Linked DNA regions of Anolis sagrei. The protein of the gene in region 2 interacts with the protein of the main gene of each other region in a pairwise test. Links are inferred from orthologs where the notes say so. Each region holds a gene or a part of one and is shown on either strand. Other genes may lie near its edges. The genes, in order: PEX5 and ACOT8.

Region 1 (16,237 bases), on a different chromosome or scaffold from region 2:
CACCAACAGAATATATTTATTGTCCGGGATCTAGGAAACAAATGTTCTAAAGAAGTGGTTCTCAAACTGTGCTCCTCCAGATGTTTTGGACTTTGGCTCCCACAATTCCTAACAGCTGGTAAATGCTATACTTTTACAGATGTGATTAGAAGTCAAGCCCATTTATGGCATATCTATTCCTTGTATATTTGAATTCTTAGGCTCAGAAGGATGAGCCAATGAGATGGAAATGCAATTTTGAAAGTGCGACTTGGGATTAGAATGAGATTTTGTCAAATTCAAGCTCACACACAGATAACTATGGAAAGAAACTACTAAGTACTCACCATTTATCAGCTTGTGTTTGATCTTCTGATTCACCCAGCCACAACTTCTCCTCTGACTGCTCCAAGTATTCTTCTGCCCACTTAGCAGGAGACACAGACAAAGGATCTTTGAAGAAGTGGGAGGGAAAAGAGGTTTTTGAATGTGTATTTTCCTCCTAACAGGAAGGACGAACTCTCTCCTGAGATGTACTCTCTGCAACTCAGAATAACCAAAGGCGTCTTTTTTTATACTTAGACAGCCCACTGGCATTACAACAAACTCACCAAACCCATAGGTAACTCCCTTCCATAGCTCTGTTATCTAGGATTTTCTTAACGAGAGAAGCTGAGGATTACATGCCATCTCCAGCATGCCAAAAGAGTTTAGGCTTTCACATTCAAAACAACAATAGGATATTAGTACAACATTTCTCTCTCTCTCTCACACACACACACACATATATATACACACACACACTTTTGCCTAGCTTTCATAAGAAGTTACTCTGATCTAACTCATGTCAGTCATAGACACAAATCAGTGGGGCTCAGTTTTATTTGTCCCAGAGCCAATGACACCTAGCAAACAACAATAAATCTTTTGGATTTGGTGAAAGCAAGATTACTGCAATTTGGATTTGGAAGGAGTGAGGGAATAGCAACAGAGATTCACTGAAGGAATTGGAATAGCCAGACTTCATAAACACAGAGAAAAATTATGGTGGGGGGAAGGTCCTAATTACAATTTTACCTGTCTAAAAGAATGTCATAACAAACAGGTGACACATTGCTTGTTCATTGTCATTACTGAAGAAAAAAGAAAAGGTCACTCAAACTGCATGTTCTCTATGTTGAGTAACAGGAAGCCACAGACAAAATATGCCATGTTACAAGGGGGGGGGGTCATTAAAAATTTCCCCTGACCCACTTCCTGTGGACTGAGAGCAATGAAACTTGACACAGTTATGAGTCCTTCTCTACATAGGTGCCACCTAGGAACACACACTTCTCCCATCTTTTTAAGTAACTGTAAACACCTCGCTTGTAGAAGTTGACAGGTTGCTCCAAATCAGAAATCAGAGTCTCATTATCTGAAAAATGCTTGCCTTTCAAAAATAGCTTCGTTGTTGGAAAGAGGTTGGGTGAATAAGGGGGATGAGGTAGAATTTCAAAGCCACAGGAGCATGCTTACATCTGGGCAACAGGTGAGTTGTGAACTGGTGCATTGTTTTGAAGAAGGCGGGCACCTTTGGTGAGCATGCCACATCTCTTGGTTCTGATGACCTCCCACAATTTCCGCAGCAGTGAAGCATAGTATGCCCCAGTGATCATGGTACACTTTGCTTGGAAATCCATTGATACTACTCCGTGCTGGTCCCAAAATACTGTGAGCATAATCTTGTCTGTACAGAGTAGGGCATGTGCCTTCTTTGGAGGGAGTGAGTTATGATATTCCCATTGCATCAACTGGCCTTTAGTATCAGGATCATAGTGATGGATCCAGCTTTCACCCTGTGTGATCAATCTGTTGAAAAAATCCTCCTGGTTTCCATGGCACATCATCAATAGAGCCCAAGAGCTTTCAACTCATTCCTGCCTCTGAAAAGGTGTGAGCAGCCAGGGAACCCAGTGAGCAGAAACCTTATGCATGTGAAGATGATATTGGATGATGTTTTCCATGGACCCCACACTAATATTGACATTTTGGGCAAGGTGGCGAATGGTTACGAGGCTATTTTCCAAAATGCCGACCTCCACTTGCTGGATGGTGTGTTCATCAGTAGCAGAGTGGAGTCGCCCTGGAATTGGAACTGTTTGCACCAAAGTGCGGCCACATTTGAGCTGACAATGCCAGTTCTTGACTACATCATATGATGGGGAATCATCACCATAAACCTCTTTCATCTCATCGAAGGTCTGCTTTGGTGTGTGGCCTTTCAAGTAAAGGAACTTGATGACTGCTCTATATTTCACTGAGTCCATTATCAAACCTCACACCACTCCAGCACTTGTAAAAACAAGACTGTTATCAGTTCTGAGTTGTAAATTGGCATGTAACCCATAGAGACTTATATCATTACACATGTGCAGTTTCCACATCCTGTGATAAATAGAAGTGGGTCAGGGGAAATCTTTAAAGAATGCCCCTCATAAGACTGGCTGGAAAATGGAGCTAAGTCATAGAATCATAGAGTTCGAAGAGACCATGTGGGCCATCCTATCCAAGCCCATTCTGCCAGACAGGTAAATAAAATCCTTCATGAGATACTGCTGGCCCTCAAAATCTTGCCTCACCTGCAACTTCAGCAATGAACTCCTGGGACCAGTCAGCTTCGTTATAATCCGTAGAAACATCAACCACACTGTCGGCAGCATTAAGGAACTCTTGTGACCAGTTTTCAGAGAGAGCCAGGGCTGCAACCCCTGGAGCTGAGGGACAGAGAACAAGTTAACATGGGTGTTCAAACTTTAGCAAGAGTAGTACCAGTACACAAGATTCCCCACCTTACGCTGTTTCCTAAATTCACTAACTTTCCTTCCAATTCCCAGAGAAATCCTTCCTCTGGACAGGAATGGATGCCATCATCACATGCTCTCATCCCCTGTGTAATATTTACCTCTCTGTGGGGCTTGCCGAAAACTGGATTGCTCGATTTCTTGCATCTCAGCCAACAGATCATCCATCTTGAATGTTTGTGGTGCACGAGACAGCAGGGGGCCATTTTGCTCTTGAAGGAACTCTGCCACCAGCTACCAAAAAGCATTCGGGGGGAGGGGGGTACAAATAGAGTGTATGTAAATACTGCAGAATAGTTTAAGGGTGTTGGCAACTCCAAGACTAATTCATTTGTTATGGTATAGTTGGCCCTCCACTTTTGCGGATTTCACTTTTTGTCACTTTGCTTATTTATGGGTTATTTGGTGCCACCTCTGCTGCCGCCCTACATATGGACTGCAAGTCTGGTAAGAGTGAGGTAGTCCGTGAACATGTAATGAGGCTCATATGTTCTTATTAAAAATGTAGGGCAGCAGTAGAGCTGGAGCCTGCCTCCCTCATACACACACACCCCTCACCTGCTAACTGGGCCATGACGGGGGCAGAAAAACAAGAAAAGGGGCCAGTAGCAATTTCCCCTGTTTTGCTGGGATGAAGCAGGTGGCACTGCAAAATACAGCAATAAATCCTCTAAGCCAAGCCTCTCTCCCATTTGTTTTTCAAGTCTTGCTGGGGGGGAAGGGGGGAGAGAAACAAGGGTTTTGGCTTAGAGGATTTATTGGTATGTTTTGTATGGCCACCTGCTTCATTCCAGGAAAAACAGGAAAAAATGCTTCTGGCTCTCTTATTTGGTTTTGTTTTCCCCTGGAAGCAGTAGGCTGTGGACTGGTAGCAATGTCAATGCATAGGGCTTGCTTTTCCTCCTAGAATCTACTGGCTGAGGCCTGTGAGGTTGAGATGGCAGCCACGCTGCAAAGAGGCCGTGGAGCTGTGGCAACTACTGTGGCCCAGTTAGCAGGCTGGGGGAGGGAGCAGGGCAGAGCAGCATGGTTTGGGCCCCTCGTGTCCCAGAAAGAACAGGGGAGGGGCTATTTGGGCTTTCCCACATTTGCTATGATCTTGTGGCCCTAGCCCCTACCACAATGGGAGAATGACTGTCTAATCTTGTGAGGATTAAGCAAACTGTAGTCAATATAAACTCACAAGTCTTTGTTTTTACAGCAATAGCTAACAAAGCCACCCCTCTAAAAAACACAGAGCACACAACAGAACGAGAAGGAAAGAGAAAAAAATCATTGAAGTTCTTACTTCGTCTTCTGAGGCTCTTCCAAGAGGTTTAGATATCTACAGAAGAAAAGGGAATGTTATCCGAGAACTCATAAAAAAAGAAACATTTGAGAGGTGGCACATTCCAAATTTTACAGGACCCCTCTTTTCCTACAACAGATGAGACAATATTTGCACATCATCCCAGGTAGAGCTCAACAAACTTACTTGTAACAAAAACTGTTGCAATCTCAGTGATCTCTGTGTTTAGAAAGACTCTTGCAAAACCATTAGGATTCCCATATAACTGGTTCTTAAATCTTCCTGAGAAGAATTTAATGCCCTTAAATGAACAACTCAGGTAGGCCTTCTCAGGCTCATTTCCTCAGAAAATAGTGGCAAAGCTATCAGGACATTAATGTATATTTGGCAGAACACCAACAACGACTTTTGGGTCTAGTTGTTAGGGAAAGCTACCCTAAAATAAAGCAGAGCATCCAAAAATCAAACTGGATACCAATAGTTGAGCAATCAGCCCAAAGGCGAGCAGAACATGCAGTGCCATGTGATGTGGCCGCAAAGATTTCAGAGCTTACGAAGCAAACACGCAGAATCCGATCTTTTAAAAAATCACAAATCATTTACAATAAAAGTCATTTACAATAATAAAGAACTAACTACATTTCTTCATGGTGAAGAACTGAATCTGAGCTACTCTAACACCCATCTCTCCTAAGGGGAAAAAGGGGAAAAAACTCAATCATTACATCTCTCCTGACACACAAGCAGAGAGAGATCTCAAAGCACACAATACATATTATATTCTCCATACTAAAGTGTAAGAAGGCAGAAAATTAAAAAAAGGCTTGCAGTAGACAAGTATTCATAAATAACCAATCAGAATGAGAGTAGAAAGAGAGGAGATGAAAAAGATACACCCCCAACTGTCATATAGGAGACTTGGGTGAAGGGAATTCCCTTAGCCTATCCTAAACTAACTGATCCTTGTTGAGGACTTGAGATTTGGACAGGGTGGGCTTGGATTCCAACATTAGTGAGGATCCCATCAGACAGATACACTCCACTGCCCATCTAAACTTTATTTCCAAAGTACAGTGCATCTGGAGGACACTCCCCCATTTCCATTCCACCTCCAAAGTGATGGGCTTGCTTAGGGAGCTACTTCAGAGACACTTGTGATTTTCAGCCAATTTTGGACAATGCATGGGGCAAGTTAGAGTGGGATGTTAAAATAGACTCCTGTTCATTTCCTTCCAGAAGTAAATTAAGCCCTTTGTGGCTTGGTCTCTCACCAATGTTTGCAGACAAGAGAGATTTAAAAACGGGCTTAAAGCTAACCTTTAAAAATGTGGTATAAATACAGAGAACTAAAAAGCCGGGGTTCTCAAGCATTGCAACTGGAGGTCAGCTCTTACCAACAGTTCTATGGATTTTGAAGAGGTACAAAGAGAGAGTGAAAGGGTGAAACATGACAAGAGGAAGGCATGTCAAGCAAACCCATGTTGGGACCACCTGCTATCTAGAAATCTATGTGAAATACCATGCAGATCCAGAATAGGTCTTCACTGATCCACGGCCAAGACTCTACCTCTAGAAGGGGCATGTTGCTGGGAAGGTTGTGGGTTGGATTTCTGGGGGATGTGATATTTAAAAAACCAAACATTTTGTTGTATTTTAACTGTATTTTGAATTTAACACGAAAAATACTGGGTTTTTTTTAAAAAAAATGTATTTGCTTTGTTTCAAATGGATCAAAATGTATGACTGTTAGCCTCCTTGAGTTCCCTCGGGGAGAAAGGCAGGGTATAATTAAAGTAAATTATCACACTATGTAACATAATTTGAAAATTTTGCTGTTCCTGGTTTGAAAGTGTTATTTCCTGTTTAATTGTATGGTACTTAATGTTGAAAGTAGTTGTTATACTCTTATACACTTTGTTTTGGTGGCTGCCACAAACTATGTTGAATTGGTTGAGATATTCATTGGAAAACAATAGCAAAATGTGATATAGCAGAATGTCCCACAAGAGCAAAGTTTTTGCAGTTTACTAAGTTTTTCCCCCCATATGTTTATGATAGAACCAATTAGGAAATGACATTTATAACCCAGGAACAAAAATCATGTTATATAGTGAGAAGACATTCATACTCGGCCGAAAGTGATCACCTATGATTAATCTCTTACTATCAGCAGACCAGCTCCTGAAATCAAAAGTCGACTATCCATTTTCCATTTATCTGGAGAATGTGGTGGCCTCAGAGAGGCAGAGAATAAATCAATGGAATTTTAAGAACCATGTAATAATAACTAATTATGATTATTTCATTTATTACCTGCCTCTCCTCGTGGCAGGTTAAAAAACAATTAAAATACATAAACACAACAAAAACACTACAAATATACACACTAAAACGTACCTCCATAAAAGTTACATACAAAACGTATCTCTATGAAATACATACTAAAACAAACAATTGTTTTGTAACCCACCTCCAGCCATGAGAAGAGGCAGGTGAGAAATATTATTATTATTATTATTATTATTATTATTATTATTTTACTGACCCAAAAACACAGTACGTCATAGCAAATGAGATCTATATGCTAGATTTCATATCACAAAACCACAAGTCGAACACTTCCCAAGCATCTAGGACTGTGTGATGTATTTTTGAATGATGCGCGCCGATCCAAGTAAGATGATTTTGTGAATGTTTATATTTCTAAATGCCAGCTGAGATCTTTTGGCATGGCACTCAGTATGCCAATTACCACTGGGACCACCTGTACTGGTTTATACCAAAGCCTTTCAGTTCGATTTTGAGGTCCTGATAACGGCTGGGTTTTTCCAGTTGTTTTTCATGAATTCGGCTGTCACCTGGTATGGCGACATCAATAATCCAAACTTTTTTCTTTTCCACAATTGTGATGTCTGGTGTATTGTGTTCCAAAACTTAGTCAGTCTGGATTCAAAAGTCCCACAGTATTTTTCCATGTTCATCATCATCATCATTCTCATCCAGTGTACTATCATTTTATGTTGTACCTTTGGCCCACCCACTGTGTTTTATTTTCCATTATGTTACTTTGTACTGTTTATTTTACTTTATTGGTTTATTTATTTTATTGTGATGTTATTTTGTTGTTTATATTTTATGTTGCTGTAATGTATCACTGGGCCTGGCCTCATGTAAGCCACTCCGAGTCCCCTTTGGGGAGATGGTGGCAGGGTATAAATAAAGATGATGATGATGATTATTATTATTTGAAACACAACAAGATTTGTTGTTGTTGTTCATTCGTTCAGTCGTCTCCGACTCTTCGTGACCTCATGGACCAGCCCACGCCAGAGCTCCCTGTCGGTCGTCACCACCCCCAGCTCCTTCAAGGTCAGTCCAGTCACTTCAAGGATGCCATCCATCCATCTTGCCCTTGGTCGGCCCCTCTTCCTTTTGCCTTCCACTTTCCCCAGCATAATTGTCTTTTCTAGGCTTTCCTGTCTCCTCATGATGTGGCCAAAGTACTTCAACTTTGTCTCTAGTATCTTTCCCTCCAGTGAGCAGTCGGGCTTTATTTCCTGGAGGATGGACTGGTTGGATCTTCTCGCAGTCCAAGGCACTCTCAGCACTTTCCTCCAGCACCACAGCTCAAAAGCATCGATCTTCCTTCGCTCAGCCTTCCCTAAGGTCCAGCTCTCACATCCGTAGGTGACTACAGGGAATACCATGGCTTTGACTAGGCGGATCTTTGTTGCCAGTCTGATGTCTCTACTCTTTACTATTTTATCGAGACTGGACATTGCTCTCCTCCCAAGAAGTAAGCGTCTTCTGATTTCCTGGCCACAGTCTGCATCTGCAGTAATCTTTGCACCTAGAAATACAAAGTCTGTCACGGCCTCCACGGTTTCTCCCTCTATTTTCCAGTTGTCAATCATTCTTGTTGCCATAATCTTGGTTTTTTTGACGTTTAGCTGCAACCCAGCTTTTGCGCTTTCTTCTTTCACCTTGATTAGAAGGCTCCTCAGCTCCTCCTCGCTTTCGGCCATCAGAGTGGTGTCATCTGCATATCTGAGGTTGTTAATGTTTCTTCCAGCAATTTTCACCCCAGCTTTGCATTCATCAAGCCCCGCACATCGCATGATGTGTTCTGCATACAAGTTAAAAAGGTTGGGTGAGAGGATGCAGCCTTGCCGTACGCCTTTCCCAATCTTGAACCAGTCTGTTGTTCCGTGGTCAGTTCTTACTGTTGCTTCTTGGTCCTTGTACAGATTCCTCAGGAGAGAGACAAGGTGGCTTGGTATGCCCATCCCACTAAGAACTTGCCACAATTTATTATGATCCACACAGTCAAAGGCAACAACAAGATTAATACACACAACAAGATTAATACACAGCAAACAAGATCATTATGCTGGTTGTTATATTGGATCACATGTTGGACACTTCCCAAGTGTCTAGGACTATGTGATGCATCGGCAAATAATGCCTACAGATCCGAGTAGGGTGGCATTTTGCAGCTGACAGATGGTAATTTTGTCAGTGCTGATTGTGTTTAAGTGCAGGCCAAGGTCTTTAGGCACTGCACCCAGTGTGCCGATCACCACTGGGATCACCTTGACTACTACTTATTATTATTATTATTATTAATTAGCCTCAATCTTGGGATGGTCTGAGCCACACCACTCTCCCCACACCCTCTCACAACCCCACAGCTTCCTTCTACTTACCACCTCGGCTGTGGGTGGCCCAGAAGGCCATGGCAGGGTGCCCCGTAGTCCTTCCTGCTGCAGGCCCTTGTCCTGGGTGAAGTGGCTGGCCAGCTTCATCAGGGGGTTGGAGCCCCCGCACTCGGGCTCCACCAGCTCCCTCATGGCCATGGCAAGTGACGGGGGAGAAAGGGAGACCCTCCTCACCTGTTGGAGGAAGGGGCATAACTGCACTGCGGGGTCTGCTCAGCCAGATCATGTGACCTGCTTGGCTGGGTTTCCCTTGAGGGGCCCAGTGGGAAGCTGAGCTCTCTCTATATCCATCTAGACTAGGCATGGGAAAAGTTGGACCCACTGAATGTTTTGGACTTCAACTCCCACCATTCCTAGCAGCCTCAGGCCCCTTCCTTTCCCTCCTCAGCCGCTTAAGCAGCTGAGGGGGGAAAGGAAGGGGCCTGAGGCTGCTAGGAATGGTGGGAGTTGAAGTCCAAAACACTCAGTGGGTCCAACCTTCCCCATGCCTGGTCTAGATTCCCAACCTTTGGCGCTCCAGGTATTTGGGACTTCAACTCCCAGAAGCCCTTGCCAGCTCGGCCCACGACCAGGAATTGTGGGAAATGAAGTCCAATAGGTCCCTGCGGCCCACAGGTTGGGAAGCACTGAGTCCCTTCTGCCAAGCATGCAGCTCCTCCAGGGGGCTGGGGCTCGCGCTGGAGGGAGTGGTCCCTCGAGAGGCGCAAGCCAGGCCGCGGATTGGGCCTTCCCCAGCCTCCCTCCATACCTCTCTCCAAGCCTCTGCCTTGCCCTGATCTCCGGGCTCGGGAGCTTCTCTTCTGCACCGCCGGGGAGACAGCCACTCGCCAAGCTTGCAAGGCCTCGGCCCCTCCTGCTTCTGCTTCTGCTCCAGCCGCCGCGAAGCCCGGACTGGCGACCACTGCGCGAGGCCCCTCCTTCTGGCTCACGGGGGGCCCGCCCCTCCCTCGAGGCGCAAGCCCCGCCTCCTTCTCGCTCTCTGTCCCCGCCCCCGTGAGGCCTACCTGGCTAGACTCGCCAAAAGAGGCAAGGGGCGGGGCCAGCCCTTAAAGAGCCAGGCCTCCTGGAAGGAGAGGGATGAACCATGAACCATGAAGCGGGCCCAGGCTCTCCATGGACAGTTCCTGGGAAAAACTGAGAACCAAATTGACAAAGAAAAAACATGGATATGGCTCACAAATAGAACTTGGAAAAAGGAGACAGAGGGACTGATTTTGGCAGCCCAAGAACAAGCCATTCGAACCAATGTATTGTCGAAGGCTTTCATGGCCGGAATCACTCAGTTCTTGTGGGTTTTTTCGGGCTATATGGCCATGTTCTAGAGGCATTCGAACCAATGCCAACAAAGCCAGAATTGAAAAGTCGACAACAGATCCCAAATGTAGACTCTGCAAGGAAGTCCTCAGCTGCTGCAAGAAGATCGCGCAGATAGACTACAAGCAGAGGCATAACACCGTTGCTCAGATGATTCATTGGAACCTGTGCCACAAATACCATCTGCCTGCGACAAAGAACTGGTGGGATCATAAGCCGGAAAAAGTTACAGAGAATGAACACATCAAACTCCTCTGGGACTCCGAATTCAGACTGACAGAGTTTTGGAGAGCAATACTCCTGAACTCACACTCGTGTTAAAAAAGAAAGTATGGATTGGCAATGTCACAAGTACCACCTGCCAGTAGTAAAGAACCGGTGGGATTATAAACCTGCAAAGGTAGTGGAAAATGAACATGCAAAATACTGTGGGGTTGACAAAGTTTTGGAATACAATGCTCCAGATATCATGATTATAGAAAATAAAAAAGTTTAGATTATTGGTGTCGCCATAATGGGTGACAGTCGCATTGAGGAAAAACAAGAGGAAAAAACTCAGCCGTTATCAGGACCTCAAAATCGAACTTCAAAGGCTCTGGCATAAACCAGTACAGGTGGTCCCAGTGATCATTGGCACACTGGGTGCCGTGCCAAAAGATCTCAGCCGACATTTGAAAACAATAAACATTGACAAAATCACGATCTGTCAACTGCAAAAGGCCACCTTATTTGGATCTGCACGCATCATTTGAAAATACATCACACAGTCCTAGACGCTTGGGAAGTGTTCGCCTTTTGCTTTTATGATAAGAAATCCAGCATATAGATCTCATTTGCTGTCACATGCTGTGTTTTGTGTCAGTAATATAGTAATAATAATAATGATGATGATGATATAATAGTAATGCCCAAAAATGGAAGAGCGAAAAGATCCCAACACTAGAAGAGTGGACAATAAAAATCCTCGACATAATGAATATGGGTAGTCTAACAAATGCACTCAAGAAAAACCTGAAACCCACGATAAGAAAGACGGATTGGACAGCAATTAAGAACTTCTTTAAAATTAAGTTAGATATAATGAAGATACGATGAGGAGAGACAGAGGGAAATAGATATGAATATCAAGATATCCTGAATGGACTACATCAGAGGAAATTGAAGATTACTGTGCACAGTCCTCTATTTTCTCAGATTTTTCACCTTTTCTTTTTTCTTTCTTTCTTTTTTCTCTTCTCTACTTTCTTTACGCCCCCCCCCCCTTTTCCCACAATTCACAATTTACTGGTGGTGGTGGTTCTTCATTCTTATTGACTCATTGTGCATTTTAAATAAGTTGAGAAATAACCCCTTAATGTACCCCTATTTTATCCTTTAATAAAAGATTAATTAACAACAACAAGCCTATGCTGCCTGATAATCCGGTTCAAACAGATAATCCAGATTCAGAGTGCAGTCTGTTCAGCACCTTCCAAGTCGCCCAGTCTTCTGTGTGAAAAGGAGGAAGTTTCTCATCCGGTATCAGCCATGGATTGAGGTTCCGGGTTTTAGCCTGCCACTTTTGGACTTTCGCCTAGTGAGGTTTTTCTGCAAGTAGCTCTGTAGATCTTAGAAAGCTGTTTATTGATTTAAGGTATTGGCGTGCTGGCTGATATCTGAACAGAGGATGGGACGGAGATGTCACTGCCTTGGTCCTTTCATTATTGGCTGCTACTTCCCTTTGAAGTCAGGCCCCATCTACAGTGCCACATAATCCAGTTTCTGAATCTGGATTATCTACTTTGAACTGGATTATATGAGCCTACACTGCCAGATAATCCAGTTCAAAACAGATAATCCGGATTCAGAATCTGGATTATATGGTAGTATAGATCCATCCTCAGGGCCCTTCTAGACAGGCCCTGTATCCCAGGATCTGTTTATATGAGTCCCCCACTGCCAGGTAATCTAGGATAAACAGAAAACCTGGGATCAGATCCTGGCATATAGGGTCTGTCTGAAAGGGCCTGCTGCCAGATAATCCAGTTCAAATAAAATAATCTGGATTCACAAACTGAATTATATGATAGTGAGAAAAGACCAAATCCAGCCAGAAATACAACAAGATACCAGTGGGTGCAAGTTCTTGTAACTGAGCAAAACAAACAAACAAACAAACCCCACAGCAGGCACATCAACGTAATGAGCTTTTCCCCAACAACATTTCACAGATAAAAATAAGGAGATGCTAATGCATGCACCCAGCAGGCAAGGACTTCCCATATCACACCAAGGCACCCCATACCTTTCCACTGCATGCCAGGACAGGTGGGCCAAGCACCCACACATAGGTGCTGTGCAGCAGGTCAAGACTTGTTCCCATGCACTTGCATTCTCCATGTTCACGTGTTTTACTGGCACAACAAGGCCTCTTTCATGCTCCAGTACAAAGAAATTACAGTGCATGAGTGGACTGGGCCCTGAGGGTGAAAAACTCCTGATTCTGGGCACTAAGCACCTTTACCTGGAGTTTTTATCACTCTGCCAGAGACAATCATAAAATCATATTGCGGTGGACCCAGGTTATTCCAGGTGAAGTTTGACCAAAGCAGAATAGAGAGGGACTCTGACTTCTCTCAATCTAGACCAGGCTATTAGGAATTGTGGGAGTTGATTGAAGTCCAAATCACCTGGAGGGCCGAAGCTTGCCCACGCCTGCTGTAGGAAAGGAAGTGGCCTGAGACTGCTAGGAATGGTGGGAGTTGAAGTTTGCCCATGCCTGGTGTAGGTCATTCCAGGTGAAGTTTGACCAAAGCAGAATAGAGTGGGACTCTGACTTCTCTCAATCTTGACCAGGCTATTAGGAATGTGCCTATTGATGCAACCTAGACTCACATTGGCTGTTTTAGCTGCTGCATCACGCTGTTGACTCATCATCCAAGCCATTGATAAAGATGTTGAAAAGTGTCATCTAACACAGAAACCCCTGCCTTCAAATTAATCTGACCACAGCAGGGGGTTCCACAGTTCCTGGGAGTATGAGTTTTCCAAGTATCTGCAGGACAGAGGCACTAGCAACAGCTACAACAAGAGATTCTCCTTTTCCTCCCTTTTCCTTGGCCTCTTTGTAACAATTCCCCAATAAAGAAGTATCCTTTTAGTAACTTTCTGCTACCTGCCTGAGACATTGTGTCCTTTACTTACTCTAACTCTGCCTTAAACCATAAATTTTCCCTCTCCCGAGCCGTGCAGCCCTGCTGGCTTGCCTGGGACGCTCCAGCAGCGTCCCGGGGGGTGATCCTTTATACCGTGGATACGGGGACCCACCCCGGTTTCGGTATCCGTGACTTAACTGATCGGCCCCAGACCAGCATTATCATCTTTCTTGATTAATTATAAGTCTAACTACTATCTCAATTTCTGCTGAATGGACCCCTACACCCCTCAGATCCATCTTTCTCATCCAAAATTCCCATGTGGAAACCTAGGACCTTTTCATGGTCCCATGGTTCTGCATGACAGCAGTACCATTTTTCTTTTGTGTGTCGCCTCGAGTGGTGCCTGATGGTGCTTGCAGACCCCGGAAATTCCTCATGTGTCACCCCTAAAACCCAGGCTAGCATCAGGCCAATCTGATCATTTTTATGAATTGGGTTCCTTTTTTTATGAATGAACCTCCTTTTTTATGAATGGACTGAAGTGGGGCTTGGGCTCTGATTGGATGAGCCACATCGGTCGCTGGCCGCTCCTCCTGGCTCACTGACATAACAACCAATCACAGCGAAGCTGGCTCAGGGGCGGGCGTGGGAAATTTGAATTGGGAAAACTGTTTATATTCTGTAATTCCCTGCTCAGGAGTCATGTCTGCTCCTTTGCATGATACTGCAGTCATCATCCTTTCCAGCTGGAATAGAAAATAAACTTCAGTGGCTTTGCTTCATCCTGGTGAGATTTATTGGGAAATACGGAAACTTTTATTGGTGCTTATTGTCTCTCCAGGCATAGCTGACCCTCCTTTTAGCTTTTCACCGGCTTCTGCTCAGGCAGGGCCCGCAAAATCGTGCTCTGCTTTTTTAGCACTGGGCGCAGGACAAACTTCTGTGGCACCTCCACTGGCCACTTCTTTCCAGGCTGAAGAGGAGCCATTTGTAAGCACCTTTGGGTTCTGCCAGTTAACCCATTCCCAATTCACTTCTGTAGCATTGTCCAAGGACTTGCTGAAATCAATCTACATCTACAGCATTCATTTCATCTACCAAGCTTGTAACTCTATCTGGCATCAGTTGTTTTTGAGAAACCCAATGCTGACTTTTTCTGAATATGGTATTGCTTCCTATATGTTTGCAGATTGTCTATTTAATTATCTGCTCCATAATCTTTCCTGTCATTGATGTCAGGCTGATTGGGTAGTAATTGTTTGGGTCCTCTTTTATCCCCTCTTTGGAGATAGGAACAATATATGCTGAAACCTCTCCTATTCTCCGAGAATTCTTAAAGATGATTGCTATTGTTTCTAAAATTATTTCTACTACTTCTTTTAATACCCTTGGATGTAGTTCATCTGACCCTGGAAACTTTAGTTGTGTATCCAATTCTGTATTGATAAATTCTCTAACTCCCCCCCCCTCCATGCTTTTACTATTTCCATCCATGTACATACCAGAAATATTATAAGGTCTTTGATAGTTTCTCATTTTTGTCTTCAGACAAGAAGAAAAGCAGTAATGCCCCTCTGAGGGCCTTTCCACACAGCCCTATATCCCAGAATGTCAAGGAAAAAAATCCCACATTATCAGGGTGTGGACTCAGATAACCCAGTCCAAAGCAGACATTGTGAGATTTTCTGTCTTGATATTCTGAGATATAGGGCTGTGTGGAATGAACATAAGGGCAGTTTGAAATAGAAATGACAGTAAAATGTGAGCTTTGACAACAGCTAGTCTGCCTAATAATGATTGACCAGTCTTTTAGCTTTTAAAAATATAACAATATATTTCAGTGTGCTATGTCATTTGTTCACACTATTCCTAAATATCTATAGCCTGAAAGACACATTGATAAATTGGACATTCTTTTTAGAGCTAATTGGTTCTCTTTGTTTGTAGTTAATATTTTTATTGTAATTTATTTTGAATCCTGTATGTATGCAATTGTGTCCCACGTAGGCACCGTGCCATCCACAATCAAAGTAGCTGGAGTGTTGTTTTAAGGACCACTTTGGAATGGGTGAAAGATTTGTCTGTTCACACTTGCGCACTCGCAGTGAAAGTGCTTTGGTCTTTTGCCACCACTAGAGGTCAGATAGGATCCACCAACCAAGACCTTATAAGCCTTTTCCCCAAGACTATAGCCCCATCTAAAATGCCATATAAAACCCAGATTATCTGCTTTGAACTGGATTATATATAGCAGTGTAGACTCATATAATCCAGTTCAAAGCAGATAATGTGGATTAGCCTGTTTTGTATTATATGGCAGTGTAGGAGGGGCCATGATTTCCATGGTTGAACAAGAAATTGAATCCTGCTTCTACAGCCTTAGTCCCACACTCAAACCTCTACACCAAGGGCCAGGTCACAGTCCCTCAAACTGTTGGAGGCCCGGATTATAATTTGGAAAAAAATATGAATGAATTCCAATGCACACTGCACATATTTTTTGTAGTGCAAAAAACAATACAATAATTAAAATGAAGAACAATTTTAACTTATTAGTATTTCAATGGGAAGTATGAGCCTGCTTTTGGCTGATGAGATTGGATTGTTGTTGTTGTCCCGTGCTTTCAAGTGGCTTAAGACTTAGGCTGACCCTGAGCGAGGGCCAGTTAAATGTCCTTGGAGGGCCGTATTTGGCCCCCGGGCCTTAGTTTGAGGACCCCTGCTCTGCAATATGCTGTCTTTACCTGTATGCCCTGTGCAGAAAGTAATTTTTGGTTTGGCATGCCTGAAAGGGCTTCCTTCCTTTCTTTGAGTCTGGTAGATAAATATAGCCCAAAACTTGCAATTACCGGGTAGGAGGAAGACTGTCAAAGGAACTATAATAGCATTTCTAGGAGCTGAACTCAGTATATAAAAATAACAATATGCAGAAGTGGAAGAGAAATGTTTCTACTTATA
Region 2 (16,237 bases):
CTCACCTGTGGGTCCCCAGGTGTTTTGACTACAACTCCCAGAGTTCCCAGCCAGTTTACCAGCTGCTTGGATTTCTGGGAGTGGGAGGCCAAAACACAACGAGAGAGGGACCCCCCCTCCCCCGTTGAGAACCACTGTTTTGCCAGTTGGGGTCACCCGGCTGTCACTCACCGGCCCAGGGGCTCTCGCACTCGTAGAGCATCCAGTGGTCGGCCCGGAAGGGGGCGTGGAACCAGAGGGAGTGGTCCAGGGAGGCCATGAAGCCCACCTGGTGGTGCCGGTGGGGCAGGAGGGCCGTGGCCAGGAGTGCGTAGTCCGAGATGTAGGCGGCCACGCAGCAGTGCAGCTTCATGTCACACTCGCCTGGAAGGCAAACGCAGGCTGATGAGGGCTCTGCTCAAAGAGAGGAGGGAGGGAGGGAGGGAGGGAGGGAGGGAGGGAGGGAGGGAGGGAAGGAAGGAAGGAAGGAAGGAAGGAAGGAAGGAAGGAAGGAAGGAAGGAAGGGCAGCCCGGCACCCTCTGCCTTCCCCCAGACATGCCCCAGGGAGGCATTCTCATTGATTTATGTCGGCTTCCTTGACACCCTGTGCTTCTCACTCCTCGGGGGTCTCAAGGCCGCTTACAGCTTCGGCAAAAATTCAATGCTGGCAAAACCAACAGTAACAATAAACATATCCCCACCGTTAAAATAATTCACAATTAATCAACAAAACACATAAAATCATATGCAAAATAAAACATATCAAGTGTGTAAAGCAATTCATCCCAGATCCTTGCTTGTAATCCTTATTCACACCATGTCGAAACCCAGAGTGACCTATTCTTCCAATGCTTGGGCGCAGAGCTAGCTCCTGAGCTGTTTTCTAAAGACCAGAAAAGGGGGGGGGGGGTGTTCCACAACTGGGGAGCCACCACTGAGAAGGAAGGAAGGAAGGCCGTCTCTTGTAACCACCAGTTGCGCTTGCAAAGAGGGTGTGCCGAGAGCAGGGTCTCCCCAGGCGATCTTAACATTCTAGAAGGCTCATAGGAGGAGAGGTGTTCGGACAGATAAGTTGGACCTGGACCGTTGAGGGCTTTATAGGCCAAGACCAGCACTTTAAATTGGGCTCGGTAGCAAAGTGGCAGCCAGTGGAGCTGACGCAACAGAGGAGTTCTGTCCTCCGGTTAGAAGCCTGCACTACTACTGCTACTAACAACAACAACAACAACAACACTATGTAACACGATGTTTGTTCCTGGGTGATAAATATAGTTTCCGAATTGGTTCTATCATGAAAACACGGGAAAGGTTTTTATTACATTGCAGGAACTGTCTCTGCAGGAGGGGCATCGTCCAGCTAGAGCAGATTTTGCAATTGTTTTTCAGTGACTATCCCATCATCCATTCTCAGCCCATTCAACTTAGTTTGTGGTGGCCACAAAAGCAAAGGTTCTGGAGGAGAATAACCCCTTTCAAAGTAATTGCCGCGCAATGAAAAAGGCAACAACACTCTTAGAGCAGGAATGGAAGGTCTTTCCAATGTTGTGAGGTAACAAAGATGCCACAAGCTGCACATCATTACTGTGTATGGTTTTGCTTTATCGTCTTTGTACTCCTATGTTGTATTGTGTTGCTATTGTGTTTTGGTTTTACCTTATTGTAATATGCTGTTGGGCTTGGCCTCATGTAAGCCGGCCCAAGTCCCCCCCATTGGGGAGAGAGATGCTGGCGGGGTATTAAATAAAGATTATTATTATTATTATTAAGAGCGGCCCCGGCGCTTACCGATGTGTCCCCGAGCACGCACCCAGACGAGCTGCTTGGGCTCCTGCTGGCTCCGGCGGAAGACGTCGGGCGGGTTCACGGGCTTCATCTCAATGGGAACCTCCTGGGCCAGCATCTTGGTCAGGCCCTGCCGGTAGCGCTCCAGGAGGTTGGGGTCCCTTTGGAGAGGCAGAGAGAGGAACCAGGACGCTGGGGAGGGAAACAGGGGAGCTACGCCCACACTATAGTGGGTACTAATGCAGTGTGGGCATGCCTGGTTCTCCAGGGCGTGTTGGACACCAATTCCCATCATCCCCCACTGCTGCCTTGGAGGTCATAGAACCATAGCAGAGGCACCCCCCCCCCCAACCCAGCAGAACAATCTAATCCCATTTTATCCGGCAGGCCCTCATAGAAGCCAAGCCCTCACAGAATCAGAGAGTTGGAAGAAGCCACAAGGGCCATCTAGTCCAACCCTCTGCCATGCAGGAACAGCACAATAAAGCATCCCCAAACAGGTGGCCATCCAGCCTCTGCTGAAAGGGAGGCTCCACTGGACTCCAGGGCAGAGAATTCCATTGCTGTGGGAAGGAAATCTTTCCTAACGTTTAAGTGGAATCCCCTTCCCTGTCATTTGAACCCATGGCGCCACTGAGTCCTATTTCCCGGGCAGAAGAAACATGGCCGCCCTCATGCCTCCTCTCAGCCTTCTCTTCTGCAGTCTAAACATCCCCAGATCTTTAAGCCGCTCCTCCTCAGAGGGATTATTCATGGACTTGTGATCCTTTGAGTGGCCCTCTTCCTCGGGACACCTTCCAGCTTGTGAAGACCTCTTAAATGGTGTTGCCCAGAACTGGACACCATGTTCTAGGTGAAGAGGTCTGACCAAAGCAGAAGGGAGAGGCACCAGGACTCCCCTTGATCTAGGCTCTAGGCTCCTCTGGATACCCCTGCCCCAAATCCCCTTGCCTCACGGGACACTTGACTCAAAGTCTTCTTCACAGGTAACTCTGTGGTGGAGCCAGCCCTCCCATAACCTCTATCTGTGCATTTCAATGTTTTTCTGTCAAAGGGAAGTGTCCTCCCAAGTGACGGCCTTCCAACCTCTGCTTAAAACCTCCAGAGAAGCCCCCCCCCCCCCCCCCCCCGGTCCACAGAAGCAGCCTATTCCAGCTCTGGAAGTTCTTCCCAATGTTTAGGTGGAATCCCCTTCCCTGCAATATGAATGCATCGCTCCGTTGTGTCCCAGTCTGCGCAGCTGCAGACACCAGGCCTTCCCGTTCCTCAATTTAGCAATAACGTGCCATGTCCTCTCTGGAGGGAGATGGCTCCCTATTGCTACACAGCCAAAGCCAAGGGGGAGAGGCGGTGGCTGTGGAAACCTGTGGAAGCCAGCAGAGTCTACATGGAACACTTTGAAGAACAAGCTCTAGAAACAGCAACAAAAAAGCCCACCACATGGTTCAGATACGTAGATGATGCCTTCACCATTTGGAGCCATGGAGGAGGAGAACTTGTCTCCTGCACTGTGCTTATAATCTAATCTAATCTAATCTAGTGTGTGTGTGTGTGTGTGTGTGTGTGTGTGTGTGTGTGTATATGGATCTAAATAAATAAAAATGGCCCAGAAGGGGAGCTGGGAACAGGCCTTGCTTACTGCTGGAAATACAGCGGAGCCCCAGCACAATTCAGAATGGGACGTTCACTTAGCCTAGGAGAGATTTCTGCTGCCTTGAAGCAGAAACAGATGCATTTTTAATAATAATAATAATAATAATAATAATAATAATAATAATAATAATAATAGCAATTTAAATAATAATTATTATTATTTGTACCCTGCACCATGTCCCAAAGGGACTTGGGATGGCTCAGAAAGCACTCAAACTACAAGAGAGGAGATTCCATCTGAACATGAGGAAGAACTTCCTGACTGTGAGAGCCGTTCAGCAGTGGAACTCTCTGCCCCGGAGTGTGGTGGAGGCTCCTTTTTTGGAAGCTTTTAAATAGGGGCTGGATGGCCATCTGTCAGGGGTGATTTGAATGCAATATTCCTGCTTCTTGGCAGGGGGTTGGACTGGATGGCCCATGAGGTCTCTTCCAACTCTTTGATTCTATGATTCTATGATTCTATGATTCTATGAAAGGTGCCAACGCACAAAATACAAAAAGTGTAACATAAAACAATAAACAACCCACATAAATCATCACCACTTCAGAATGCCCCCTGGTTAAAAGTGCAGCACCAGCTGCTGGTAAAAACAACAGTAACCTTCAGTAAAAAAAACCACCTCACCACCTCTGAGGATGCTTGCCGTAGATGCAGGCGAAATGTCAGGAGAGAATGCCTCTAGAACATGGCCATATAGCCCGAAAAACCCTACAACAACCCAACAGGAATCTATCTAGTCTTGTAAAGTGCTTGATAGAAAATCTATAGGACCTCACGTATATTCATTAAAGGAATCTAAATATGGCCAAAGGCTTGATGAAAAAAACCATGTCTTCAGTTGTGTATGGAAGCTTGGAGGGTGGGGGCTGGCCTGATCTCCCTGGGGTGGGCATTCCAACGTCAGGGGGCCACCAACAAGAAGGAAGGCCCTCTCTCTCCCTCGTTGCCATCAACCGCACTTGAGACAGAGGTGGGACCCAGAGAAGGGCCTCCCCAGTAGATTTGGTTCATAGAAAGAGGTGCAGTCTCAAAGAGAGGTTGGACACGAAGTGTATATATAGCGTATGTATAAGAAGCAGCTCTGCAGGCTCAAGCAACGGAGGGTCAGTGAGCCAGGCAGAAGTGGCCAAAGAAAGGGAGGAGGCAGGCAGCCCCCCCTCTCTCTCTCTCTTTGCCCCTTTTCCCCATGGGTTGTCTCTCTGCCCGTGGCCGAGCCGAGGGAGAGGGAAGGCACTCACTGGAGGTACTTGTGGATGAGCTCCTCCTGGGTCAGGAGTTCCTCCGGGAGCGGCACGTCCGGCATGTGGAACTGGTGCTGGATGGGGCTGGGCTGCGCCGCCTGGAAGGAGGCCTGGCAGGTGAGGATGGGCATCCCGTGCTGGATGGCCTTGACCGACCGGACCGAGAAGCTCCTCCCCGTCCGAGTGCGCTCCACCTGGTAGAGGACGGGTACCGTGGGGTCCCCTGCGGGGGGGGGGGGGGGGGGCACAGCAGGGCTCAGCCGACAGCCAGCCTTGATGGGTTGTGTGCCTCCCCCCCCCCCCCCCAAAGGGCTCCGTACTGACCTGCTCTGACGAAGTAGCAGTGCAAGGAATGGACGTGGACGTCATCGCTCACGGCCTTTGCGGCGGCCACCAGGGCCTGGCCCACGATCTGGCCGCCAAAGAGACGCTTGGTGACCGGCACCCAGTAGTGCCTCCCGCTGGGAGAAGACAACGAGAAAGAATAACGTTATTGTCCGTGTACCTCGTACGAGAAAATTACACGCAATCCCCAATACACATTAGATACATAGAATTACAAAACAAGGCACCCATCCGTCCATATTCTAGTCACTATTGCACAACCCCTCATGCCACATCAGGGTGAAACCACAGAGTGCAATATAGTCACAGCTCTAGGATAAAAGATATCTCTCAGCCTCTTTGTCCTTGTTTTTAGAGGAAGGAAAAGGAAGAGAGAGGCAAGGCCGGCTGCCAGAAGGGTGCAATTGGTTCAGGACCTGCCTATCTGCGCGACCGCCTTCTCCCTTATGAGCCCGCGCGGTCCAGGGATGCTCTTCTCTTGCTCCCACCCCCCTCTCAGGCGCAGGTGGTGAGGACGAGAGAGAGAGAGGGCCTTCTCGGTGGTGGCCCCCCACCTCTGGAACTCCCTCCCTAGAGAGATTAGGCTAGCACCCTCCCTAGCCACATTCCGCAAGGAATTAAAGACATGGATGTCTCATCGGGATTGTGGCGCAGCGGGCTGAATGTCATCTGCTTTAAGATCCCTTCTGACCAAAAGGTCATGAGTTCGAAGCCAGCCCGGGTTGGAGTGGGTTTCCAACCAATTGTGTGTAGCTTCTTGTCGACCTTTGCAACCCGAAAGACAGTTGCATCTATCAAGTAGGAAATGTAGGTACCACCTATGTGTGGGGAGGCTAATTTAACAAAATTTACGAGGCCATAAAAAGACACCAGCAAAGCACTCCAGCAAAAGCATGCGGGGAATGCGGAAGTGCTTCATCAGTGTCGCAGATGGATGATGAAAGCGACAGCTCCCTCGGCGGCCAGAAAAAGTTAAATAGCCTCTGTCTATGTCTGTATATGTTTGTATGTTAAAATGGGTATTGAATGTTTGCCATATATGTGTACGCTGTAATCCGCCCTGAGTCCCCTGCGGGGTGAGGAGAAGGGTGGAATATAAAAAAAGCTGCAAATAAATAAATAAATACATAAATTGTGCTTTTGACTGACGGCTCCTATGACGTACGACCTGTAATGTGATCTGAATTATTATCCAATCCAAATTCCTATATTACATTACTAGACATATCCTTAAGTTAAGTTGAATCGGTCCTGTTAAATTGCTCAGTTTCCATGTTATTTCCAATCTGGGATCATAGAATAATTGAGTTTGACTCCAAGTCCAACTCCTTGCCATGCAGGAAAGCACAATCCAAGCACCCCTGGCAGATGGCCACCCAGCCTCTGTTTAAAACCTTTCAAGGAAGGATTTTCCACCACACTCTGAGGCAGAGAGTTCCACTGCTTTCCTGAGGATGCTTGCCATAGATGCAGGCGAAACGTCAGGAGAGAATGCCTCTAGAATATGGCCATAGAGCCCCGAACAAACCTACAACAACCCAGTGATTCCGGCCATGAAAGCCTTCGACAATACATTATTATTATTATTATTATTATTCCGCTGTCAGCCCTAGCTTCCGCCAACCTAGCAGTTCGAAAACATGCAAATGTGAGTAGATCAATAGGTACCACTCTGGCGGGAAGGTAACGGAGCTCCATGCAGTCCTGCCAGTGGCCACATGGCCTTGGAGGTGTCTACGGACAACGCCGTCTCTTTGGCTTGGAAATGGAGATGAGCACCAGAGTCCCAGAGTCAGACATGACTGGACTTAATGTCAGGGGACTACCTTTACCTATTATTATTATTATTATTATTCCTCCTTATTATTATTGTTGTTAAGGGTGTGGAGAACAAGCCCCATGAGGAGCGGCTGAAAGAGCCGGGCCTGTTGCAGTGCAGGGCCTTCTCCTCCTCCTTCCGGGCCGCAGCCCACCGACCCGCCCGCCCACCCTCCTGACTGACCGGAAGAGGTCGAGGTCCAGCTGCTCCAGGTTGAGGACGCTGGTCACCAGCACGCTTCGCAGGTCCTTCCCGGCGGCCGCCATCTTGGACGGAAACGGGTCCCGTTCGGGACACTCACTTCCGGTCGGTTTTCCGCGTTTCCTTAAGGAAACGCGGGGCAGAAGAGTTCCTGCTTCGCCATTGGCGGAGCCGCCCGCCCGCTTGCCGCCGGAGCTCCCGATTGGTGGGCTCTCCTTCGGAGGGCGGGGCTTATAAAGAGAGAGAGAGAGAGCCCGCCTGTGCCTGCCACGCGCATGCGCAGGGAGAGAATCCGCAAGGGCAGTCCGAGGGGTGGCGGTGGCTCTCCTTCTCTCCTTCCTCCTCGGAGGGGCCTCGCCGGGTAATTAGGGCGCGTGCTAATTGGCCTCCCAAGGGGTCTCCGGTGGGGCAGGAAAGGGGGGAGGAGGGGCTTCCTGGGGAAATCTCAGAAGGAAGGAAGGAAGGGAGGGAGGGGGCCAGGCAGGCCAGCAGGCCGCGCTCCCCACATGCCCAGAGGCACGCTTGTTTCCCCAAAAGGCACCGGGGGGCGGAATGGGCTGCTAATGGAAGGAAGGAAGGAAGGCGCTTTGAGTCTCCTCTGAAGAGAAGAAAGGGTGTGTGTGTGTGTGTGTGTAAATATAATAATAACTAGCCGCCCCCTGCCATGCGTTGCTGTGGCCCAGTCTGGTGATCTGGAAAATAAAGTAATGAGAAAGTGTTGGTTTCTAATCTATGTCATGTCTTTCTGCTTGAGGGTAAACAGTATTTCTTGCTGTTTCTTTGTCACTGTTGATGTGGAGAGTGTCTGGTTTGCCCACCCTGGAACAAGCAACACATCATAGTCCTTCTTTAAGGGTCCCTTTCAAATCTAGGATACTATATCTCTCTCTGTGTGTGAATCCTAGAATCCAAGAGTGGGAAGAGACCTCCTGGGCCCTCATCCAGTCCAGCCCCATTCTGCCAAGAAGCAGGAATATTGCATTCAAATCACCCCTGACAGATGGCCACCCAGCCTCTGCTTCAAAACCTCAATAGAAGGAGCCTCCACCACACTCCCTCCGGGGCAGAGAGTTCCACTGCTGAACGGCTCTCACAGTCAGGAAGTTCTTCCTCATGTTCAGATGGAATCTCCTCTCTTGGAGTTTGAAGCCATTGTTCCATTGCGTCCTAGTCTCCAGGGAAGCAGAAAACAAGCTTGCTCCCTCCTCCTCCTCCCTGTGGCTTCCTCTCACATATTTATACATGGCCCTGATCATATCTCCTCTCAGCCTTCTCTTCTTCAAGCTAAACATGCCCAGTTCCCTAAGCCGCTCCTCATAGGGCTTGTTCTCCAGACCTTTTATCATTTTAGTCGCCCTCTTCCTCTGGACACATTCCAGCTTAGAGTCAATATCTCCCTTCAATTGTGGTGCCCAGAACTGGACACAATATTCCAGAATCATATCTATCTATCTATATCGATGCCTGGGTGGCTCTTTGTCGGGAGGACTTTAATTACGTTTCCTTGCCCTGATGAAGGGAGTTGGATTGGATGGCCTTAAGTGTTTTCTGTTGGTCACGGGGGTCCTGGAACATGGCCATACAACCCTTAAATTAGGTTCTTGTAGGTTTTTTCAGGCTATAGGGCCTTGTTCTAGAGGCATTTCTCCTGATGTTTCACCTGCATTTCGTCAGGAGAAATGCCTCTAGAACATGGCCCTATAGCCCGAAAAAACCTACAAGAACCTAGTGATTCCAGCCATGAAAGCTTTCGACAATACATTTAACAACCCTTAAATTATTTGCCCCTATTCTGTCGTTTGTGGGATTCAGAATGCTCATTGATTGTATGTGAACTGTGAATCCCAGTGCCTACAACTTCCAAATGTCGAGGTCTATTTCCCCCAAACGCCATCTGTGCACATATTTGGGTGTGGTCCAGAACCATCATTGTTTGAGTCAACAGTGCTCTCTGGATGTGGGTGAACTATAATTCCCAAACTCAAGGTCAATGCCCACCAAACCTTTCCAGTTTTTTCTGTTGGTCATGGGAGTTCTGTGTGCTAAGTTTGGCCCAATTCCATCATTGGTGGAGTTCAGAGTGCTCTTTGATTGTAGGGGAACTATAAATCCCAGCAACTACAACTCCCAAATGACAAAATCATAATTTTTTGAGTGTTGGTCACTCCTTGTGTTGTGAGACGTTTTGTTGCCAAATTTGGTGTGATTTCATTCATTGGTTCTTTTGTTTTTAAGGAACTCATTATGCACTGAGCATGCATATATATATATATTACGCATGTGGCTGTGAGTCCTCAGAGGTTGTGAGGTCTGTTGGGAACGTAGGAGATGGGGTTATTATTATTATCTATCTGTGGAATCATGTCCCAGGTGGGTGGGAGGGAGGGAGAAAGAAAGAAAGAAAGAACTCTTGCCTGATCCAGGCAAGTGTGGACATTGCAAATGTCGATTAGCATTGAATGGCTTTGCAACTTCAAAGCCTGGCTGCTTCCTACTTGGTTGGGGCGGGGGGGGGGGGGAATCATTTGTTGGGAAGTGATTAGCAGGTCCTGATAAAGAAGCCCCCAGTACAGTAGACAAGTTCTTCTCCTCCATGGCTCCAAATGGTCAAGGCGTCATCTACGTATCTGAACCATGTGATGGGCTTTTTGTTGCTGTTTCTAGAGCTTGTTCTTCAAAGTGTTCCGTGTAGAAATTTGCTCTGACCAGGCTGAGAGGGCTCCCCATGGCTAATCCATCTTTCTGTTCATAGAATTCATGATCCCACTGAAAGTAGCTAGTGGTGAGGTAACAGAGCTGTGAAGTCTTCTGGGAAATTCTGTTGGGTGACTGCGATGTGTCCTCGTTCCCCAGGGCCGGGATCCGCCATGGAGCTGGGCTCCTGCTTCAAGAACTACACGGACTTCTCTGAGCACTTTGCCGCCTACAAGAAGGAGAGCCGGCTCCAGTTTGGCCTCAAGAGCTGCGTCTCCGTCCGCTTCCACAACCGACAGAACGGGACCCACATTCGGGAGGATATCACGTAAGAAGGGGGCGAGTGGGCAAGGGGCTCACGGGAGACAGTCACGCCCATGCCCTCCAAGCGCAGCCTCAACTTTGACCCTCCTCCAGGTGTTTTGGACTTCAACTCCCACAATTCCTAACAGCCTACCGGCTGTTAGGAATTGTGGGAGTTGAAGTCCAAAACACCTGGAGGAGGGTCAAAGTTGGCCCCTGCCTGCTGTAGGTGCAGCCAAATTAAATGCAGTTTGGCACCCTTTTAACTGCCGTGGCTCAATGCTGTACGATCAGAGAAATTATCATGGTGTGCCTTCCCAGAATAAGGAAATTCCCAGCAATATGTCCCTAAATGCACTTTATTAGTGATCTAGGATTGTTTACATGCCCCATCCCTCTCCGAAAAATTTGTATCCCACCTGGTCATGCTCAGCATTATTTTAAAATTTTTAATTATTACATTTAGCCAGCCATAGGTTTTTAAATGTTGTCGTGTTATTGTTAATGTTTACTGCTTATTTTTATGAGTTATGTATTGATTTGTATTACTGTTATTGTTTTTACTGATGTATTGTGGGCTCGGCCTCATTTAACTCGCACCGAGTCCCTTGGGGAGATGGTAGCGGGGTATAAATAAAGATTTTTAAATATTATTATTATTATTATTATTATTTATATCTTGCTTTTTCTCTTCATTCGGGGACTCAAAGTGTCTTACTCTAAAAGCAATTCAATACAACATAAAATATACAAAGATTAAATCAGAATTAAACATCATCAGTATTAAATATTAGGGATAATAGATCCTGACCTGGTAGGATCACTGCCCATTGTGAACTGTTAGGATCACAACTTAATCAGTGTAGCAAAGGTTATTTAGTAATGAAGGATTGCTAGGTGTGTAGATATTTCATTTCTGTCTGATGCTTTGCGCCGACAGCGATGCAAGCAGACTTTTTAAAAAGATCACAGGTTTTGTTTACTGATAACTTCATGGACTTCAAGATACAGGCACATTTCTTGTGAAGGGTTAGAAACTTCCATAATGTTTCAGAGAGTTTGTATCTTGACTTTATCATCTTGAACAGTTTCTTCATAAACTATGTTGCTATGTACAGCTCTCTTTAGTAAGAGTTTACTTTCAAATAAAACACAAGATTTAATAGTGTCTAACTTGTATTGTCGAAGGCGTTCATGGCCGGAATCACTTGGTTGTTTTTTTGGGGCTATATGGTGTTGGGAATCAAGAGTTGTGAGGCTCAAAAATGACCCTCTCTGGGGGTGATTCCACCAAAGTATAGCAGAGTGCAGGATGCACAGTTCAGAAGCAGCAGAAGCTTACATGTAGTGAGCAAGGATTGGCTTCCATTCAACAAGATGGAACAGGATTGCAGATCCACAACTCATAGGATCAAAAACAATATGTTTATTAAAGATAAAAAAATCCATTCTAGATAGGAAAGGTTCTTGGAGCTCACTAGCTTCACTGAGCTATCTTTTAAGGAAAAGGAAAAATAATAAAAGTAACTATATCTACTGCATCTTTATAATAATAATAACAACACTTGTACCCCGCTACCATCTCCCCAAGGGACTCGGTGCGGCTTATATGAGGCCAAGCCCAAATACAACAATACAAGCAATTAAAATAAAACATGGACAATACAATAATGCAACATTAACAATAAGACCACATGATTAAAAACTATGGGAAGGCCAAATGTAAAATTAAAATTGAAAATAATGCTGGAACATGGGTGAAAAAGTGACACATCTTTGCCTGGACAATGGCAAGGATGCTTCCTCACTCTAGAGAAGACAAAGGGAGAAGGGGCCAGAAAATGGAGACAGGCCACATGGCTTTTGCCAGGGCAATAAAAACACCTTTAAAAGAGGAAGTTACGTTTCCCTATAGGATTACATTCCTAGGTATTCAAAGGGGGAGGAGATAGTGCCATGCAAAGATCAGTAAGACAATCCCCCCTTTTAACCCCTTCTTAAACAACCTAGCTACAGGAAATTGGGGAGGAATCCCTCAGTCTTATCTAGGCTAGCTACTCATTGAGAGCTGGAGACTTGTGCAGTCAGGGATGAAGCCCAACATGTGGCCATATTCTAGAGGCATTCTCTCCTGACGTTTCGTCTGCATCTGTGGCAAGCAAGCACCCTCAGAGATTGTGAGACCTCACTACCCCTCCCTTACAGCTCCTCCTCTTCTCTGATCCCCAGGTTCATGCGGGTGAAGTTTGGCTGCATTCAGTCGCGAGAGCAGGCCAAGAAGAAGAGGAAGAAGAAACAACAACAACAGCAGCAAGAGGAGGAGGAGGAGCCCCAGTTGTGCCCGGCCTACTTGGTCCTGCAATACAGCGAGGAGCTGGACCGACTAGTGATCACGGAGCTGAACTCCAACCACATCCATGCGGAGCCCAAGGCCCCTTCGTTCAGCTCTGACCGTTCCCCTTTGGCCAGGCTGGCTGCCAGAATGGCCGCCTCCAGAGCCTACGGCGCCCCTCCGGCCAAGCTGCGCAAAGAGGAGCCTGCAGAAGTGAAGGTGAAGGTCGAAGCCGACAGCGACGTGAGCGAGAACACGAGAACCGATGCCGAGAAGTGCCCGCCTGCTTCCCTTTCTCCTTCTGAGGAGCCAGGGGCCCCTCAGGCGGGCGAATACGGTGGCAGCAGCGCCAGCAGCTCCCCCCTGGTGCACATCGATGAGGTGATGCGGGTCTTCCAGCGCACGGACGCGGGCTCTTTGGCCTCGTTCCGCCTGGGCAGCAGCAAGGAGCTGGAGCGCCTGAGCTTCCAGACGGGCAAGATGAAGGGCCTGTTCCTGCGTTTCCCCGAGAGCCTGCTGCTGCACCGGGTGGTGGGCTGCGGGGGCCACACGCTGTACGCCTTCCTGGTGGAGAGCAAGGACCGGGTGGGGAAGCTGGTGCACTTGGCCATCCTGAGGGACGACACGCCCGAGAACGTGCGCGAGATGCTCTCCGTCTTCAAGAAGTTCAACGCGGAGGGGGAGGGGGAGGCGGAGGGGGGCCGGAGGAGGGTCAAGGCGGTGCTGGTGGACGTGGCCTTCCTCCACCGGGAGGCCCTGCGGGAGCTCTTCCCCTCGGCGCAGGTGCTGCTCTCCGTCTACCACGCGGTGCGGCTCCTGGAGCGCAAGCTGAAGAAGTCCCGCGCCTCGCTGACCTTCAAGAGCGCCCTGCGTGCGGCCCTGCGCGAGGCCGTCTTCTCCCCGTCCGAGGCCAGCCTGGCGGCCCTCTCGCGCGTGGTCAAGGGCCTGGTGGACCCCGGCCTCTTTGAGCACCTCCAGGCCCACTGGTTCTCCTGCGAGATGCTGTGGTACTTCCACGCCAAGAAGGGCCTGCACGCCTGCAGCACCTACATCGACAGCCTGGAGCTGACCACCCAGAAGCTGGCCAGCCTCTTCGGCCCCCAGCTCTCCCTGCAGGACGGCCTCCTCCGCCTCGTGGAGTCCGCCAACGACTTCAACACCAAAGGCCTGGAGAACCACCTCAACCAGCCCTCCTCCAACGGGGAGAAGGCGGGCGCTGGGCGGCGCAGCATCCTCATGGAGGAGCTCAAGAGCCAGCCCCGGCCCCCCCTGCCGCGCAAGCCTCGGCCGCCAAAGCACCCCCCACCCGCGGCCGGACAGGAGCCGCCCAAGCAGAGCGCCCGGCACAGCCCGGCCAAGCCGGTGGCCACCATGCTGGCCGCCCTGAAGGAAACCTGCACGGAGCTGGCCTACCAGCTGTGCCTGAACGAGTGGGACGTGGTGCAGAAGTCCACCCAGCTGGTGACGGCTTCCTCCAGGAGGAAGGCCGCGGTCCAGCTGCTGGAGGACACCCACCAGGTCGGCGGGGGCGGCCGGAACTGCAACTGTTACTTCTCTTGCCGCTACCAGCTGCCCTGCCGGCACGTCTTGGCGGTGCTGCTGGCGAACCAGCAGGTGGTGGACGAGGGCATGGTGGCCAAGCGCTGGCAGAGGAAGTACCAGCACCTGCCCGCCCTGCGCCAGAACCACCTGGAGTGGCCCCAAGGTGGCTTGCCGGTGGCCACGCCAGTACCCAAGGAGCGTCAGGACATGATCCAGTCCCTCAGCACGGAGCTGGGCAACCTGCTCCTGCAGAGCGAGGAGGGCCAGGAGCTGGAGGAGCGCAGCGCCACCCTCCGCATGATCGTCAGCATCTGGACTAAGCGCTCCGAGCTGCGGGAAGAGGAGGCCGCGGCCGCGAAGCCCCTCCACATCCGCAACGTGGGGGACCTCCCCTTCCTCTGGGTCAAGAAGGAAGAGCTGGAGGGAGCCCAAATCTCCTCGGTCGCTCACGGGGCCGCTCTGGACACCAGCCAGACTCCGGTGGCTTGAAACACGCCCCTTTGGCCAGTCGGTCAGTCCAGCGTCTGGTCGGAGGGGCTGGTCCTGGCTTGGGCCATTCTCCAAGCCCGTTGCGGCCCTTCCTGGACCAGGGAGCTCAGGGTTGCTCTTCCACACCTCAGCCATGAAAGGGCCTCCCCTTCCCCGTTGGCGTTGACCCCCAAACTCTAGCCCCCAGGTGTTCAGACTTCAACTCCCAGAAGTCTTGGCTGCTTTGACCTATTATCAGGGATTCTGGGAGCTGTAGTTCAAAACATCGGGAGGAAACCGCTCTAGGGAGATGTGCAGGGGGACGAAGGGCAGCGGGGTTCCTCTGCTCAGGACGCAGGTGAGGCCAGCCTTGCTTGAGTGCCATTGAGAGACCCCCTCCTGTATCCCGAAGGCAGGCCAGAGTGGAGCGAGGGCCTTGAGGGGGGCCAGCATCCGGCTGCAGGCTTGACAATCAGGGAAGCCGCTTCATACCAAGGGGTGTCGTATCCTCTGTGTTTTTTGTCCTCTGCACAACTTGCTTTGTTGGTTTTTGTTGCCAGATATTCTTGATTCAGGTGTATTATTCTGCATTCTCCACAACATTGTTATTTTAGCTTAGGTCAGGTTAAGGAAACCCACCGGGATTGTTGATATTCTCTTGCGTTGTGTGGGAAGGTCCGCTGCACCCTGTGTCTGTGTTTCAGCCCCGAAGCCCCTGAGGTGGAGGCCAGGTGTTTGTGGGGGTGTCTGAGGGGAGGCGGGGCCCCCTTGGTGCTCTCCCCAAAGCCTCTGCCAGAGGGGCAGGTTTTGCTGCTATGTTCTCAAGACCAAATTAGTTGTTGAAAATGCAGATCTCACTCTTTGAGTTAAAAAAGTTTTTTTATTGGTATTATTATTATTATTAACTCTGCGGCTTTGCTGCTGAAGCCGTTTTTTAGTTCTGTTCATTTCCCGCGCCATCTTGGCAAAGGAATGGTTGTGGATTCGTTATGAATAAATTATGCCGTGTTAATTTAAAAGGGCGCTCCCCCCCCCCTTTAAGAAGGGAACCAGTTCAGGGGGCTGCGGAAAAGGTCACCGGGGTGCAGTTTTGACCCCCAAACCCCTTGCGGAGCTGAGCTGGACTCCAAACGAGGCCGGAGTGGCGCCTGGTTCCAATAAACCCCTTGAATTCTGAGTTAATGTGGCTGCTGTGGTTTTTCATGACTGTGGAGTGAACTTCAACTTCTGGCCAGCCTGTAAATGAGTGAACTCTGAGACACCTTCATTGTGATGGGTTTATTTTGCAGAAGGCGCAAGGCAGCTTCTCTCTAGGAGGTCAAAGAAAGAACTAAGAACTGGAAAAGAAGCGGGGATGGGGGGGGGGGGGAACCAAACTTTCCACAGCCTGGGTTGTTGTAGGTTTTTCGGGCAGTCTGGCTATGTCCTAGAAGCATTCTCTCCTGACATTTCGCCTGCATCCATGGCAGGCGTCCTCAGAGGTTGTGAGGTCTTTCAGTTACAATCAGAAGGTCATTAAGCAAATGAGACCTCACAACCTGTGAAGATGCCTGCCACAGATGCAGGCCAAACATCAGGAGAGAGAAAATGGGAGAAAGAGGAAGGGAAAGAAAAGGGGGGGGGGGGGGAGAGGAAGAGAAGGAAGGAAGGGGAGAAAGAAAGGAGAGAAAGAGGGAGGGAAGGTTGGCCACAGCAAGGCATGGGTGGGTACAGCTAGTGTGTGCGTGTGTGTGTGTGTGTGTGTATATATGTGTGTGTGTGTGTATATATATGTGTGTGTGTGTGTATATATATGTATGTATATGTGTGTGTGTATATATATATATATATATAAATGTAATGTTCGTTTGTGGGATTAACTGAACTCAAAAACCAC

The links.
Region 1: the proteins of ACOT8 (region 2) and PEX5 interact in binary tests that used the Homo sapiens proteins (3 or more experiments, as listed by UniProt). The link is inferred for Anolis sagrei from reciprocal best matches to the Homo sapiens genes ACOT8 and PEX5.

What each region holds. Positions count from the first base shown.
Region 1 is NC_090022.1:198,467,436-198,483,672, reverse strand, and holds the start of PEX5 (peroxisomal biogenesis factor 5), read right to left. Parts: upstream 9,762-16,237; 5' UTR 9,577-9,761; intron 9,003-9,576; 5' UTR 8,967-9,002; coding exon 8,817-8,966; intron 4,147-8,816; coding exon 4,111-4,146; intron 3,057-4,110; coding exon 2,924-3,056; intron 2,736-2,923; coding exon 2,601-2,735; intron 433-2,600; coding exon 327-432; intron 1-326.
Region 2 is NC_090024.1:248,873,019-248,889,255, reverse strand, and holds the start of ACOT8 (acyl-coenzyme A thioesterase 8), read right to left. Parts: upstream 7,103-16,237; 5' UTR 7,088-7,102; coding exon 7,005-7,087; intron 5,119-7,004; coding exon 4,982-5,118; intron 4,881-4,981; coding exon 4,655-4,880; intron 1,924-4,654; coding exon 1,766-1,923; intron 364-1,765; coding exon 172-363; intron 1-171. Other genes in the region: ZSWIM3 (zinc finger SWIM domain-containing protein 3), read left to right, coding at 9,890-10,044, 12,249-14,382. UniProt on the Homo sapiens protein: Catalyzes the hydrolysis of acyl-CoAs into free fatty acids and coenzyme A (CoASH), regulating their respective intracellular levels. Displays no strong substrate specificity with respect to the carboxylic acid moiety of Acyl-CoAs.